Linked DNA regions of Rhinolophus ferrumequinum. The protein of the gene in region 1 purifies or fractionates together with the protein of each later gene. This does not show direct contact. Links are inferred from orthologs where the notes say so. Each region holds a gene or a part of one and is shown on either strand. Other genes may lie near its edges. The genes, in order: AGO2 and TARBP2.

Region 1 (8,703 bases):
TTCCTTCTCAGGAGTGGCTTGGCTATTTTTGTCCTTTACATTTCCACATAAATTGTCAAATAAGCTTGTCAAGTTCCTCCCCGTGATACAAAAACCAAATCTATTGAAATTGCATTGAATTTATCGGTCCATTTGAGGACAAGTGACATCTTTACCCTAGTGAGTCCCAATACAGGAACATGCCATCTCCCTCCATTTATTTAGGTCTTATTAATGTTTATAGAGTTCTGTGCAGAGGTTTTGCGTGTCTTTCATAAGATTTATTTCTAGATTTTTGATGTTTCGTTCTGTTTCAATTTGACTTTTAATTGTTTCTCAAAAGTATATAGAATGATGGTTAATTTTTAAATTTTGGCCTTATAGCCAAAAACCTTACTGAATGACAGTTTATCAGTAGATTATTTCAAAGAAACATGCTAGATGATAAGAATGACAGTATAAAGGAATTGTGGAGTTAAAAATTGGTACTTGTTTATGTTACATACTTTACTCCTTTGACAAATATTATAATGTTAATTAATGGTTTCTCCCTATATGAAAAATAGCTTTTATTTATCTGTTTTGACTCCAGGAAATACTTCAAGTTGCATCCTCCACAGCCACATTCTTCTCCAAGACCTTTTGTAGAAAATGAATTTGAGTTTGCAACCCTTGATGTTATAGCAGAAGCAAGACTTTGTGGCATCTTGCACACGCTGTCACTGTTTTTATTTTAGGCATTGTAGTGGGTGTGTATTGTTGTCTTACTGTGGCTGGAACTTGCATTTTCCTAATGGTCAGTGATGTGGAACATCTTTCCATCTTATTTGTTTTTCAGGTTACCTATTTGAGCTCTTACCCTCCGTATCTCCTCTTTAGTGAAATCTCTCTCCAGGTCTTTTGCCCCTATTCTAAATGAAGTTTGTTTTTTTACTGTTGAGTTTTGAGGGTTCTTTATATATTCTAGATACTTTGTCAGATGTGCGGTATACAAATATTTTCTCCCACTCGATAGCTCATCTTTTGACCCTTTTAACCGGGCCTTTCACAGAGCAAAAGCTTGAATTTTGATGAAGTCCAGTGTACCCACTTTTCCTGTTACGGATTGTGATTTTTGGTGTCAAGTGTAAGAACTATTTGCCTAGCCCTAGATCCCAAAGATTTTTCTCCTGATTTTTTGTCTGTTTTATGTTCACATTTAAATCTTCCCTCCATTGAGAGTCAGTTTTTCAGTGTCCTCACGTTAGTGACAGCTTGGTTCTTCTCTCCTTACTACACAGAAGAAAGAACCGTCGTGGAGCCAGCCGACAGTGTCTCAGGAGCACTGCTGGATGAGCCCCTCTTGCAGTTCTGTGTCCCAGTGAGTGATACCCTCTGCAGACCGCGGTGTCAGTGGCCTCGGGGTCTGTGCAAGGAGGCAGCCCTGACCGCCTGCCTCTGTTGGGTGCACAAAATGACAAAGTGATCTGCGTTCAGACTCAGTGGTTTCCGTGTGGAGAAATGGCTGCCACGTGGACTCTGTTCCTACTTTGATGGAAGTATTTGTCAATCCACAACCACACTCTTGGGTTTTCAATTCAGACAGACAGCTGATATTTTTATCCAAACGATCTTTAAACATTAGAGCTGCAAGAGATCATAGATTTCTACCTCAGTGTTTCCCAAAGTGTGCTCCATGGAACCCGAAGGTGCCCTGGGATAAACGGGTTCTGTCGCGGAATAGATTTGGGACAGGCTGCATAGGGTCTTTTCTCTTCCTTCCTCTTTGTAGAATCCTGATTCTTAATCTTTTGTTAAAGGCTCTGTGAAGGCTGGCGGTCAATAAATCCGTTTGGTGTTGTTTAACTGAATGATTCCCAATTTATTGGACCTTCTAACTCCTCTTTTATCACGTGCAGACATGTTTTTGGAACAATCGAATTATTCCAGTGTCGTGAAGAAGCGTAGGGCCTCTTGAGTTGAGAGCGTCGTGGGTGGGATGACCGCAGGAGGGCGCTGTGCGCTTGGCCTCCCCGCGCGGAACTGCTCTAGACCGCGGCACCCAATGCGCAAACCGGGGCTGACCAGCATGGGGGACCCTGGCAGTGATTAGGCCCTGCAGTCTTAGCAGAGCATAGGGACCCCTGTATCAGGGAGAGAGACTGGGCCCCGGAAGACCCGTGAGTCGGCCCTGTGGGGCCAACATCCAGGTGTTGGTTGAAGGCCTGACGAAACCGGGCAGCGGCAGTTGGATGCGGTTCTAGAGCCATGTTAAGCCAGAATTGAGTGGACTCGAGTAAGTGGGTTAAATGGATTCACGGATTGCGGTAGAGGTAGCAGGCAGAGGCCCTGGGGTTTCTTCGGTGGATGGTGAGTGTTGGCTCTGCTGGGGGCACAGGAGAAGGAGCAGGTGGGGAGGACGGCTGAGCTGCTGAACTTGGTTTGATGCTTGTGGGCCTGGAGCTGCGGGGCCGGGGGCAGGAAAGGGGTGGGATTCCTCAGCACAGGCAGTGGGGGGTAAAGTCTGGGAGAGGAGGGCACAGGGGAACCCCAGTCCTAGCAGCGGGGGGCAGGAGAACCCCACCCAGATCCTGGGCTCACGGGTCTGGAGGGCCCGGCAGGCCGCAATAGCGCTCCTCCACCAGCAGGGATCGCGCGTGTCAATCTCGGCGGGGCAGTGACACAAAGAAACGCCTGAGAGATACTATCTTGCCAGACCTCCTGCAAAGGAACCCTGGCAACAAACTTAAACCCGCCTGGGCTCTCCCAGAAGCAGGGCGCTGAGGGAAGGAGATGAAACAGTTTTCCGGTGGTTTCCAGAGGCCATAGGTTACAGCAGAAGCAGCAGAGCGTTTAAGCCTCTGAGTCATTGGGGATTTCGGGGAGGCGACACTGTGCTGGGTGTGTAAGACAGAGACACACCTCGGAGGGTCATGGTTCATACACAGTGGAGTCATGTCTGGTATGTTACAATGTTTCGGTTGTGAACTATAGTAAAGGTACAGAAAAGTATATAGAAAGTAAATGTACAGCTTAGGAGACTTGCCAAACCAACAGTAGTGGTACCGGAATGAGAGTGCCCGGCACCCCAAAATCCCCCAAGGCCTCTGGTCACAGCAACCCCCTGCCGCCAACCAGTACCCACCATTCTGATTCTTATGGTAACCACCTCCTTTTTCCTTAGCTCTTAATTACTTAATTATGCATCCCTGACCCATGTGGTTTCATGGCTCCTGCTTTGGAACTTCATAACTGGGATTCTGCAGGGAGTGTGGCCTGTGGCTTCTTTCACCAACATTGCTGAGATGCGGGTCACACTTAGCTGAAGGGTGTTCGTTCTCACTGGGTTCACCTTTATGAATATGTACGGCTCTCTGACCTGTTCCACGGCTGAGTACCTGGGTGGTGCCCAGTCCTGTGCTCGGGGTCGCACATTCAGCAGCCTGTCCACCTGGGGCCCGGTGGTCAGCTCTGCCAGACACTGGTCTTCAAAATGATTGTACTCAGTCCCACTCTCGCAGTAACACTCGAGGAAGAACCTGAAGGGGGTGAAGTAGAAGATTCTGGCAAAGCAGGTAGGGCTGTGTCACAGGGCACTGGAAACCAAATGGAGAGTGTGGACCACGTGCGTACGGAAATGGGGAGCCAATGAAGGATTTGGAGCAAAGCAGGCACAAGATCAGATGTGTGTTCACACAAGAGACTGTTGGGTGGAGAGTGGGTAATGGCGGAGAGTGATTTCAGGGGCTTTTCAGGTGCTCCAGACCACCTGGTCCGCCGTGAGGGTGGAGATGGTGGGCCGAGGATTAGAGAGTGATGGATGGGCATCTGGAAGACTGATTGATGTCAATGATTTGAAGATTGATGTCCCTTTAAGTTTCTCTCTGGAGGAAATGCTGGTTTTCCTGCCCTTCTTTAGGGAGATCCTTGAGGGTTGCCGAAGAACTGGTGATGAACCTATTGCATGCCGACCTCCTTGCAAGCGGGACTCCAGTTCACGTCCACGTTACCCTCCGCGGGAGGAACACGCCGCTCCTAGCAACCAGTAGCAGATGATACAAGTTTATAGAGTGAAGAAGCGAGCGAGCAAGGATGTTACAAGGTGATGAGCACCTCTGCACTGTTTCACCTACGATTAGGGGAGAAAGGAGGTTCCCGTTGGCTGCCCTGGAAAAGGCTCCAAAATACCGCTGGACCCCGGGGGACGTGAAGGACGGAGGATGTGGGTACGAGGGAGGAGTTCCGACGCAGGTGGGGCAGGTACAGAAACGCACGCAGGAGCACGATGGGGACCCGTGTGAAGAGCCTGGGGAGACCCCTGAGTGCTGGCCCGGGGAGTTTTAGTCTGATCGCGTCGTTGACGGCATCTGAAATTTACCGAAACTTAGTAAGAATTTTTTTACATGGATTTTCTGGGTTCTTGGCCGGGAGGTGGCGGTGTGGTCGTGTACGAGGGCCGGACGCGTTCCAGTTCAAACTCCGGGTGGGAAGCTAGCTTCCCGACATTCAGGTTTGGTTAATAACTTAAAAAAAAAAAAAAAAAAAAAAAAAGGCCAGGCTGAGACGCTGGGCCCCCAACCCGTGCCCAAGTGCACCCGGCCGGGTGGGGTGAGGATGGAGAGGGTCATGCGCGCCCCCCTCCACACCCCGCGAACAACCAGAAGGGGGTCCCCACGAGCCCGGAGGCGGCGGGGAAACAAGGGCTGTTTTCTCGTCTTTCTCCCAGGTCTCCGGCAGCGACGCCGAGCTGGCCCTGCTCCGCCCCGGCAGAGGCCACGTCGCCCATCTGAGTGGCTGTGAGGGGTCCCCCCCCCCCCCCCCCGCTCCGCGCCGCCCCCGTCCCCGTCCCGGTCCCGCCCCAGGCCGGGTCCTGGATCCCCGCCCGCCCCCAGTTTCCACCGCCCCGCGGGGTCCCCGCCCGGGCCCCCCAGACTCGCGCGCGCCCGGCTCCCCTTCCCTTCTCCCGCCTGCGCTCGCGCCTCCCTCCTCCCCCGCCCTCTCCTCCCTCGCCCCTCCCTCTCCCCGCCCCGCCCCCTCCCTCCTCCCCTCCCCCTCCCGCCGCCGCCGCCGCCTCCGCCCGCCGCCCGGGCCGCGTCGGGTAAACCTGTTTGGCCAGGCGGCCGCGCTGGGGCGGATCGTGCGGCCGGCGGCTCCCTCGCGGCTCGCGGCGTCGGGGCCCGTGGCGCGCGCGCGGCCGCCCCTCGGCCCCGGAGCCCCTCGGCGGCGCCACCATGTACTCGGGAGCCGGCACCGGTGAGTCCTCGCGCGCGGCGCGGGGAGCGGTTGGCGGGCGGGCGCGAGCGCGGCGCGGGCCGGGCCCGGGCGGCGGGCGGGCGGCGGTTCGGGGCCGGGAACCGGGGCCCGGAGCCGCCGGCCGTTCCCCGATCCCGGCGCAGCCGCTCAGCCCGGCCTTCTCGGGCCGGGTCGTCGGGGCGCCCCCGCGGCCTGGGCCTCCCGCGTCCCCGTCGCCGCCTGGGGCCCCGCGGGCCGGGACCAGGGCCGGGCGGGCGCGTGTAGGCCCGAGGCCCGCGTGTGGGCCCCGCGCCGCCGGGTCGGGCGCGGAGGCCGGGCTCTGAGCGCCGAGGACGCAGGCCCGGGTCGGGGCGCGGGGCGCGGGGCGCGGGGCGCGGGGCGCGGGGCGCGGGCGGCGGGAGAGGAGGCGGCGAGGCTGGAGCGCACTCAGTTTCGTTTTTCTTGTTGCCAGCACTTCTGCGGCCCCTTCTCTGAAGGAAAGTCTGCAGATGCTGAATTTTGGCCAATTGCTGTTGGTAGTTCGGATTGTAAACTGAGAGGGATAGGAAGCGGTCCCCTGAACCCTGAAACTGCATGCGGCTCAGTCTCATTCCAGACACGCCAGCCCCTTATTCAAGTGCTAATTGCCTTTTCCAATTTGCTAGGAGAGGTAAGGAGATGTGTTGATTTCCTTAGCACCCCTTCTTACTAGTCAGCCTTTTCCTTTGGAGAAGTTCTAAAAAACTTAAAATGCTAAAAGCGGTAACACATTGCCCCCACCTTTTTTAAATGCACAGTTAGAAGGACCATTGACTTGCTCGTCCAAGAAAATGGTCCAGTGTTATAAAGCTTTATCGCTGCCTCCCGCCAGGCACGTGGCTTCTAAATTTCCCGCTGGCCCTGCCACTTGCACAGGGTATTGCCTGTCCCCTTTGTCCGCCAGGCTGGAGCAAGCTGCAGGCCCCACGGGCTCCATGCTAGGGGGCTCTGGCCCTGTGCTAGGTGTGTCCCAGGCCTGGGCCCTTGACGGCCTCCTGCCATGGGGCCCTGGCCCCACCTGTTCCAGACCTGCTCCAGATCTCCAGTCTGGAAGCCCCTCTTGATCCGCTCGGGTCCCTTGACATTGTCTCCCACTGTGTGTCTGTTCACAAACAGATCTATGTCTGTGACTTCTGAGTGTCTTTTTTCTGATGTCACTTAGCTTCTCCAAGGCTGAGCCTGACAAACTCTTAAGGGCACTCAGCAAGTTGACTGAAGAATGACTTTAACCCTCCACCTGGGAGGGGACTCAGCCCTTGTGGGGAATGGGCCTGGACTCTTGCTGTTACTGTCCTGGGGCATATTTGGCTTCTTGAGATTCTGGGCGGTGCCCCCCACCCCCATCTGTGACTTGGCCGGGTCGCCCCTCTCCCAGATGATCCTTGTAGAGGACCCAGCAAGTGTTTGCTGCCCCACTGGACATGTTTCCTGGTTTTCGGTTTAAAAGTCGAAGGCCTGGAGAAAGTGAAGAACCTTGAGGAAGGTCAAGTTTTTGTGTTGTGTTTCACGGTATTGAATCTGCGGGACAGCTTGCTAAGTTGGTGGTGTTCATCATGACAGAGGCTCAGAGAGGTTAAGACCTTGCCAAGGTCATAGGACCAGCGAGCATTAGGACGATCTGTCTGATCCCCAAGCTGACTCTCTGTGCACTGTCCTCAGAGAGTAGTGGCTGTCAGTCTTTTGACTTTGACCCACAGTGAGAAATACCTGTTACATCTGGACTAGAGTGGGGTGTGAGTACACACAGGTATCGTTGAAACTGGAGCTTCTGGAGGCACCGCTCACCTTACTGCATAACCTGCATCATGAGATTTCCTCGTCTGTTTCATTTTTTTTTTTAAATGCTTTAGTCCCGTCCATCTCCTGGCTCCCTTTTCTGGTCGCTGAGGGCTTTTGGAAGACTCTTGCTGTGGTGCAGGCCTCCGTGCTGTGCATGGTGGGAGAGGGCCGTGCTGCACAGACCAGCGTGCCCTGCAGCCGGCCAGCGGAGCCTGAGAAAATAAATGGGTCTGGATAGTTCTTAGATAATGGCAGGATGGGACTGAACCCAACTTTCAAGCTGTATGAGTGAGCTGTAATTACAAGGCTGTGGTGGCACACGATTTTATTCTACACACTAAGGCTTTTAATTTTTGGACTAGAGTCTCCTCAATGAAACTCTTTTTAATATTATATTTCTTAATTTAGAATAACGAGAAGACATTCGATCTGGATTGTACAAAAATTACAAACAGTTTTGCTACTTCCAATTTTAATACACTTACTAAGCGACTTACCCAGTAAATTAATTTTTAAAATAGAGTTCACAGTAGGTCTCTTATGCCCATCGTCACTGCTCGAGCGCATGCGTGAATATCTGGACTCTCAGGTTAGGTATGTTACTATTCGTCTTTTGTTTAACTGTTCGAAAGAGTTAGTGGTTTGGGGTGGGTGGATTCGCCAGTGACCGTGAACCTTCCTGGGTGAACCAATGAGTTTCGTTTTGTTTATTTAACCCTTTCATGACCTTAGCCTGTGTCTGAGCAAATGCCTTCTGTGAGGGCATCGTTGGTCTCACTGTGTTTCGACTCCTGGGGGTCACCACTCCACTCAGATAGGCTACAAAGTAACCTTGGGGACACCGAGGCTCCTTGGAGAATGGTCCAGGCAGGATGGTGACTTGGAGAAGTAACGGCTTCCATCGTGGTTTCTAACTCCTCCTGCACCCCACTTCGTCTCCCCACCCTCGGTTATCTCAGGGAAGATAGGACCCATCTCCCACTAGTGGAGCACGCGGGCCATCGCGGCAGATGGCCTCTGCCCTGGTGCGGAGGGCGGTGGGTAGTTGTACAGAGTCCCCTTGGATCTGTTACAAACCTTGAAGAAGAAGTTAAATAAGTGTGTAAGGAAAAAAAGTAAAAGCCCCAACTCCTAAAGCCTGTTTAGGAAGCAGAATATTTTTCGTTAACTTCTAGTTTCAGTGTTACAAGTTTTAACAATGCCAGTTGGGTTTCTTCTTTATGAGGTATGCAACCCTACTGTAAAGTGCCAGTCTGGTAAAATATATTTTTGTTTCTTGAATTGTTAGCGTGAGCCTTCAAAATATATCGCTTAATTTTTCAAAACACTTTCTATTGTGAACTAATTGAAAATACACAAAAGTAGGGTGACTACTGCAGTACGCTCCCGTTTGTCCATCAGCTTCAACAGTTACGCACATTTCCCAGCTTTGCCTCAGATACACCCCTTTCCCCCTTTTCTTTGCAGCAGTATTCGAAAGCCAGTTGTAAGCCTGCCGCCTCAGCCCTAGTGCTTACGTCCCATGTCTGCAGGGTGGCACTTTCTCAGCCCAGTGCCATTATCTCACTTAGGCCAGACTCGGTGTCTCATTATCTCAGAAGTTTGTTGACAGGTGGTGGTTGTGGCTCCTGGATTTGAATAAAAGTTCATAGAAATTTGGTTTGATGTTTTCTGAGCCTCTTTAATCGAGAGTCT
Region 2 (7,770 bases), on another chromosome or scaffold:
ATCGATCCCTGCATGGGCCATGGTAAGCTGCGCCCTCCTTAAAAAAAAAAAAGATCTTGAAGGATAGATACCAAAGTGTAACATTTTCTAGGTTGGTAGAATGGTGGTTGTTTATCTTCTTGCGGCTTATCTATATTTTCTACTATTTCAGTAATGACTTTGAATTGTTTTAAAATGAGAAATTTAAAAATCTATTTTAAATCGAAAAAGAGGACGTCAAAATAAGAGTGTCCATCCATCCCTATCACCTCCCGTGTTTCCCTGAAAATAAGACCTAGCCGGACAATCAGCTCTAATGCGCCTTTTGGAGCAAAAATTAATATAAGACCCGGTATTATATTATATTATACCCGGTATTATATAATAATATTATTTTATTATTAGATTATACCCAGTATTATATAATAATATTATTATTATATTATTATATTATACCGGGTCTTAGAGTAAAATATAGCTTGGGACGACAGTGTGCTATAGAGAGAGGGTGGATAACCTGAGAATCAGAGGCTTGGTTGACATCCTGTCTCTGCTCCTGACCATTTGGGCAACCTGGAGTATGAGACTTCTTAACAAACCTCACAGGTCCTTCATCTCTCAGTGGGGACAGTGATGCCTATGACACACAGTGGTAATGCAATATACCTGGGGGGCCAAAAAATATATAATATATACACGACTTGGATTCATCTTTTGTTATTGGTATATATTGAATATTACAATTTTAATAGTTTTTCCCTTTCTTAAAATATATATACATTGTTTTGGCACCCTCTGTCTAATGTGGTAAGAACACAGGCTCTAGGTCCAACAGACCCTAAGCTCTAACTATATACTGATTTTTTCACTTTGAACAGATTACTTAAGTTTAGTTTCCTCATCGCTAAAATAGAGACAATGATAACACTACCTAATGCTTAGTCCTGCTATGCGCATTACTGAGATAATTCAAATAAAGTTCTGGGCCCAGGACTTGGCACCCAGGAAGCCCTCTCTAAGCATTAGCCGTGTGGAAAGTGCCTGACAAGCACTCGTGGGGGTTTTATACATGTGATTCCTATTCCTTCTTTCCCTTTTCCTCCTCTGCAGAGCAAGAGGCAGTAGGGAGGGTACAAGTGGAAAGGGAAGTGGACAAACACGAGAGGGGAAAAAAGAGCAAAGAAAGAAGACGGCAAAGGACGAGGGCTCTTTATCCTGGGTGAGCCTGGGTCTCATCTGCAATGGCGTCCCTGCCTCATCACCTCCTCCAACACACACGACCCTAGTCCTTCTGGGAGCAAATGAAGCCGACAGACCAGTCTCTGTGGCCAATCCCTCATGACACAGCCCCTGCGTCCCCTACTCCATCAGCTCCACATTTTACTCCTTCTGCCCCAGCAGGGACTCCTGCAGGGGTTGATTCCCTCATCCCTTCTTTCTCCCCAGCCCAGGCAGGGGAGACATAGTTGAGCACACGTGAGCCATTTTGCCACTAGGTGAGTCTAGGATGGTGGGTACTAGCAAAGCCAGACTACCATATGTCACCTCTAGGGGAAGGAGTGGGAGACAGCAGTTGGTGTTTGGAGGGGTTCTTCCATCCTCAGCAGTAAGGACACTCAGGAAATCCTGAGCCACTTCCTTACTTAAATTTCTTGCCTCCTCTGCCCATATCTGGGTTTAATTAGGGGATGGATATTTAGTTGTGTGTTTTTATGTGTGCTGGAGTTTAGGCATCACACCGTTGGTCTTCTTAGCATCACCTCATCCCCACTGTGAGTGGGTGAGTGGCAGGGTTGAAAGGACAGCTGCTTTTCTCCAACCTTAAGTGTGAGGTAGGAGAGAGCAGGCCCTAAAGCTCAGAGGAACTTCAGTGTCTGGATAGGAAGGCCCAGGGCGCACTTGGGCCCTTTCCTTCCTCAATTCTTTCTGCTCGCCTACCCGTGGTATGACCCTCTTCCCTTAGTATAACCCTCTGGCCGAAAATCAGAGCTCCCAGCACCACGGGGTCCACCCTGCAAGTTGGAAGGGAGCTGTGAGTTGTTTAGAGGGAGGCACTGACTGGCTTGAGAGGACTCTGGGTGGGGGAGAGACCTCATGTGCACTCTCTCCTGGTTGAGGGTAAGTCACCCACTCCCCAAGAGAGCAGGACACCCCACTATTTCCTTCCACTGTCTGTGGAGCCTCTGGCCCCTTCTCTTACCTCCCCTCAGCCAAGGCCGTGGTATCAGGAGTCTTAACTCTGTGGAAAGGATTCTTGCGTATTTTTAAGCCAAGGAGTTTGAGGAAGGAGTGTGTGGGGAAAAGGGAGGAGGTTCTGAAAGGCCTGGGCTGGGGAAATGGGTTAGGGGCGCCAGAGGAGATGGAGAGGAGGAGGAAGGAGAAAGCCACATCTGAATGGGGGAGGGGAGGATGCAACAGCTGGATGGAGGTGAATGCCACAGCTGGAGGGGATTAGGGGCTTCACAGTGGGAAGGGGAGGAGGACCATCCCTGGGCATCCAGGAACAGGTGCTTTTTGCCTATAATCTTCAGGTGCAGCCCGATAAGTGTGTGTGGGAGGAGGGTGAGGGGCTCAGTGGGCACATAAGGCCTTGTCCTTCCTTTCCTTCCCTCTCAGGGACCAAAACTCTTCCTCCTCCTTCCCTCGCCCTTCTTGCGGATGAGTGGGAGGAGAAGAGGATGGTCTCTTTCCCGCTGTCCTTTAAGTCTGTTCCCCAGTCATCTCCCCACCCCATGCAGTCCTTTCCAGCTCTTCAGGCCCTTCATCTCCAAGCTGGGCCGCGGTGTCCCTCCGCTCCGTTCCCCTCCTTTACACCCCCACAGGCGTCGGGTCCAGGTCCCCAGTTCCTCCATCCCCACAGCCTCAGCATCCCCGTTCCACCTTCCCCCACCCCGCCACATCTGCATCCCGACCCTCCCTCGGCACCGGGATCACAGGACCCGGACCCATCCCTGCCACCCACCCCCCACAACTCGGCCCGGCTCTCACCTCAGGGGCTCCGCGGCCGCAGCACAAAAGGCGGCGCTGCTGCAGCTCGGCTCCGGATGCTGCTCCCGCCTCCTCCTCCACCTCCTTCTCCTCCTCCTTCTCTCCTCCCCCCCGCTGCCCTCGACTGGACCCGGGGCGCTGTCACAGGCGATGCTCGTGCAGTGTCCGGGTGTACGCCCCAGATTTCTCCCCCCACCCCCCGACCCCTAGCCCCGTCCCCACTCGGCTTGAACTCCCGCTCCTTCCTAGGCCCCTGCCTCTAGCCCCCCGGGACGGACACGCCCTGAGCGGGGATGCTGCGCTGGAGCCGTCGGCCTCTTAAAGGAGCCCGCTGCAGCCGTCCGGTGTGCTCCAGGCTGGATGCGGCCCGTCTGGACCCCTCACCTCCCTGCTGGCGGTCCCACCTTAGGCATTATGGTGATTCCGTAGGAGCCTCCTATGGCCGGTCTTATAAACTCCCTCCTATACCCTGAGACAGTAGCCCCTCAGATGGGACACCCTCCTACCCCCCGCTCTAGAGTTGCTCTCCTTGTCATACTAATTTTGCTAGCTCTCCATCACCTAATTGTCACCACTCCAGTTCCACCCAATGGGAATCCACTCAGCTCAGTGCTCTGTCCCCATCCCGTGTTCCTGGATGACCCCTCATTATCATTCCAAAATTCCTTTGGATATCCACCTCAGACCAAGCCGTGTCGTCCCTGACCCATTCTCAGAACACTCATTAGAATCACATTTTTCGTGATTTCTTTCTCTCCAAGGTCACAAGATTTCCCCCTATCTTTCAGCCCAGTGGTTGTGAGACTTTGGGGAGGAGGGAATGCTCTGACAGCCAGATTAGTCGGTTAGTTTTAGGAGGCCAAAAACCTTCTCTTGCCCAGAGAACCCCAAGACCCACGGCAGAGAGAACAGAACCACCATTAGTCCTTCCAATTCTGTCGTCCCACTACAGTCTCATCCTCAGGCTTCAGAGGACGTCTCCCGGCCAGCGACAGAAAGGTTCACTACGGCCATTCTAAAAAGGCTTTAAAAAAGAAGCGTAAATCCGACAGGCTGCGGGGCACAGTTAAGGGGAAGAGAAGTGAAGGACAACTTAGGAAAAGAAAGCAGGTTCTGTGACACGAATGCCCGAGGGCCAGGGGCTTATGCCGAGGGCTGAGGCGGAAACTGAGATGGACCTGGACGAACAACTGCCCCCGCGCTCTGAGGAGGGCTAAGAACAGTCCCCTCCCGCGTCCTAGTAAGGCCCACCCTTCCACCCTGTAAAGAGGAAGGATCCGATAGCAGTTTCGCCCCTAGACCAATCACAACCTTTTCTCAAGAAAGAGGCAGGATCAAGGGAGATGACTTTCCTTGTCCCTGCCCTCTAGGTGAAGTAACCAATCGCAATCCACCTAGAGCAAGTAATCGCAATCGGAAATAACCAATTACGCCGGGCAGCTTCTCGTGCATGCCTGACCCTGCCCCTCCAGCTGCGGCAAAGATGGCGCGCGAACTCCTGGGTTCTGTAGTTTTCTCAGGAGTCGAAGGCCCCTTTCCCCCACTACTCGTTAGCCCTTACCACCCCGCCCCCAGTCGCTTCCACTCAGCTAGTGCGCATGCCCACAGCGCCCGCCCAAGAGAGAGGAGACGCGGAAGGAAGGTGGCGGGAACGATATTAAAAAAACAAAACAAAAAAACCACTTCTCAGCTCTGGAAGCGACTGCAGAAAGATTCGCTCCTCCCAGAAGGAGGTGCTGGCCGCGAGGGCGAACCACGCGGAGCGTTGTGGGGCGGAGAGCTCCTGATGGAGACTCAAGGAATCGGGTGGGCGGGGGACTCCATATCCCAGCATGCCCCGCGGCGGGCCCGACCGGCCGCGACTCCGGGCTTGGCCCCGGCCCTAGCTCGTTGGCGGTGTATTGGGGCGCGTGGAGGCAGCAGTCACGGTGGCGCCCGCGGGGACGGAGGAGGGAATGAGTGAAGAGGAGCAGGGCTCCGGCACTACCACGGGCTGCGGGCTGCCCAGGTGAGCCGCCTCGTGCCGATCGCTGCAGGGCGAAGAGCGTGGTGCGATTTGGGGGGGTAGCGGCGCGGCCCCGCCCCAGCATGCATCTGGCCTGGGGGTTCTTCCCGGCAAGCACTGGGGTAGTGGGCCGTGGTTCCCAGCATGCACCGAGCAGTGGCCAGTGTCTCTAGCTTGAAACAATTTGGGGCTGGCCGAGTCTCCCAGATTGCACTAGGGCACTGGGCTGTATGCCCCCCGACGTTCAGTACACTTGGTGGGTACTGGGTTCCTGGCCTGCACTGTGTCAGGGTACGTGCACTTCCAAGCTGCACTCTGGTACAGGATCCCCCGCCTTAACTGAGACAGGAACAGTGCATTCCCCGCTTGCCCCGGGGCAGTGGACCCTGCTTTCCCAGCCTGCATCTCTACTCCAAATTGAACCCAGCCAATGGCTGCTGTACTGCCTGGGGTCCCGTGGACCCTGTGTTCCCCATAGTGTGCTTGGGTCTGATAAAACAGTGCTTGGCCAGGTGGGTGCAGAGAGGGGAGGTGTGATGAGGGTCTGTGCCCCTACCCCAGTATAGAGCAAATGCTGGCAGCCAACCCGGGCAAGACCCCGATCAGCCTTCTGCAGGAGTATGGGACCAGAATAGGGAAGACGCCCGTGTACGACCTTCTCAAAGCCGAGGGCCAAGCCCACCAGCCTAATTTCACCTTTCGGGTCACCGTTGGCGACACCAGCTGCACTGGTGAGGAAGGCTTGGGCAGCCTAGCTGGGGTGTGCGTTCACAGGGCCCCATTGGCTTTATTTTTTGGAATCTCTTCACAGTACTTTTCTTCAAAGGCCAGTAAGGGAAAGAATTTTCAGGGGGAAAGGCCACTGACTGGATTGGGAGAACAGGTCTGTGAGGAGGTGGGTAGGGCTTGGGAGAATTAGAGGAACAAGCAGGACTGCCACCGTGACCTGGTAGGTCATCATCATCCTAGAGGAAAAAGTAAGAGGAGATAAATGGAAATCGCAGTGAAGTATTGGGGAGTGCCTGCTGTGTTCTAGGTGCTTAACCAAATTCCTACTTAATCATAAGCCTCAGTCTAATCCAGTAATGTAGGGGGTGGTATCCTCATGTTGAATTTGAGGAGATGGAGGCTCAGAGAGATCCAATGACTTCTTCACATGCTTAGTTAGTGGCAGAGCCAGGCTTTGACTCTAGAGCCTACCCTCTCTCTATTTTTTCAGCCATCTATTTATTGAGAGAAAAGAAAGTGCTTCCCAGAGGAAAGTAAGGCAGAGAAAGAATCTCCACCTAAGGTGTCTGAGCTCAGGAGCAGTTCTTGATTTGGGGAGCTCATGGAAAGATAAGGGCCCTTCCTTCCAGCAATTAGTGTAACACTTCCAGTCTTGGGCAGGGGGGAGGTTGGTGAGAAGGGATTTGGTTGACTTCCTGTGGTTGTGGGGAGAGAGGCTGTGGGATGCTGGTTTCTCTTCTGTCCTTCCAGTGATCTCCAGTATTGCCCACACCCCCTCTCTCAGGTCAGGGCCCCAGCAAGAAGGCAGCCAAGCACAAGGCAGCTGAGGTGGCCCTCAAACACCTCAAAGGGGGGAGCATGCTGGAGCCGGCCCTGGAGGACAGCAGGTGAGGGAGGAACAGCTGCGGCATCCTAGAGGCCCTGCCAAGAGCCCAGGCCCCTGCACTAGCCCTCTGCCCACTAGGCCTGGCCTGGTGATACTTAGCCACCTTGACCTGGCCTCTTCCTAAGACTCCTCTGGACTCGAGCAGGAAGCTTCCAGGGCTCCTGCTGCCGTGAAGGATTCTGGGGGGAATGGCCAGCCCCACTGAGGGACTGTGGTTTGGGGCTCAGGCTAGGGAGGGAGAGGGGTGGAGGCTGAGGGAGTTGCTCCCCAACATACCTCCTCTCTCTATCAAGGTGTCCTTCCCTCTTCTGCACTCAGGTCAGAGATTGTTGCTCCCATGGTTCTTGGGTACAAAAAGACCCTCCTTTTCCTTTTCTCTATCTTTTTGATCTGGTAATTTGGCAGCAATGGATCCCAGGAGGAAGAGCTGGTGGTTGAGCTTCTCTGAGTCTTTGGCTCAAGTGGGAAGGACTTTTCTTAGGGGATGGGCAGATCAGAAGGACCTGGGTCTCCCACCCTTCCTTTACTCCCCCCACCCCACATGGGTGTGAATCAAAGGCCCCCTTCCCCTCGGGAAGTTCTTTTTCTCCCCTAGACTCTTCACTGCCTGAGGACGTTCCAGTTTTTACTGCTGCAGTGGCTGCTACTCCTGTTCCATCTGCTGTCCCAACCAGGTATCTTGTCTCCTGACTGCCTGAAGGGGGGAGGAAAGGGTCCTGGCTGTTGGTCCTCAGCCCTTGGACCCAGGCTGGCCAGGCATGAGGAAGTTTGAGAATAAACAGAGTCTGGAGTAATTGGGGACCAGACATGGAAGAAGTTGCACTAGCTGGTAAGCTCTTGGGAGAGGATGTAATTAATGATTTTTAAATAGCCATATGGATGATGTTTGACTATGTTTAAGGGTCTTGCAGGTACCATTTTCTTCTGAGTTGGCCCCATGATAGTCCTGTGTTTGAGTCCCATCAGGTGCTTCCAGGGACTGGATATACAGCCCCACTCCCACTGTCCTGGCGAGGTGACGATCAAGTGTTCTAGAAAATCGAAATGGGCCTGGGACCTGGAGGAGACCTCAGTTGTGGGGGAGGGGGAAGGAAGCAGTCTGGATGTTTGGACAAACAGCTGACTGCCTGGCGGGAAGTAGGGAGATGGTAGTGGGGAAAAGCAAAACAAGGCTTAGGACTCA

Evidence for each region.
Region 2: the proteins of AGO2 (region 1) and TARBP2 purify together in Homo sapiens (co-immunoprecipitation; 10 studies listed by BioGRID and IntAct, with this or other methods). This does not show direct contact. The link is inferred for Rhinolophus ferrumequinum from reciprocal best matches to the Homo sapiens genes AGO2 and TARBP2.

The regions. Positions count from the first base shown.
Region 1 is NC_046297.1:71,129,871-71,138,573, reverse strand, and holds the start of AGO2 (protein argonaute-2), read left to right. Parts: upstream 1-5,096; 5' UTR 5,097-5,189; coding exon 5,190-5,211; intron 5,212-8,703.
Region 2 is NC_046293.1:53,364,490-53,372,259, forward strand, and holds the start of TARBP2 (RISC-loading complex subunit TARBP2), read left to right. Parts: upstream 1-4,569; 5' UTR 4,570-4,922; coding exon 4,923-4,975; intron 4,976-5,533; coding exon 5,534-5,703; intron 5,704-6,485; coding exon 6,486-6,588; intron 6,589-7,165; coding exon 7,166-7,261; intron 7,262-7,770. UniProt on the Homo sapiens protein: Required for formation of the RNA induced silencing complex (RISC). Component of the RISC loading complex (RLC), also known as the micro-RNA (miRNA) loading complex (miRLC), which is composed of DICER1, AGO2 and TARBP2.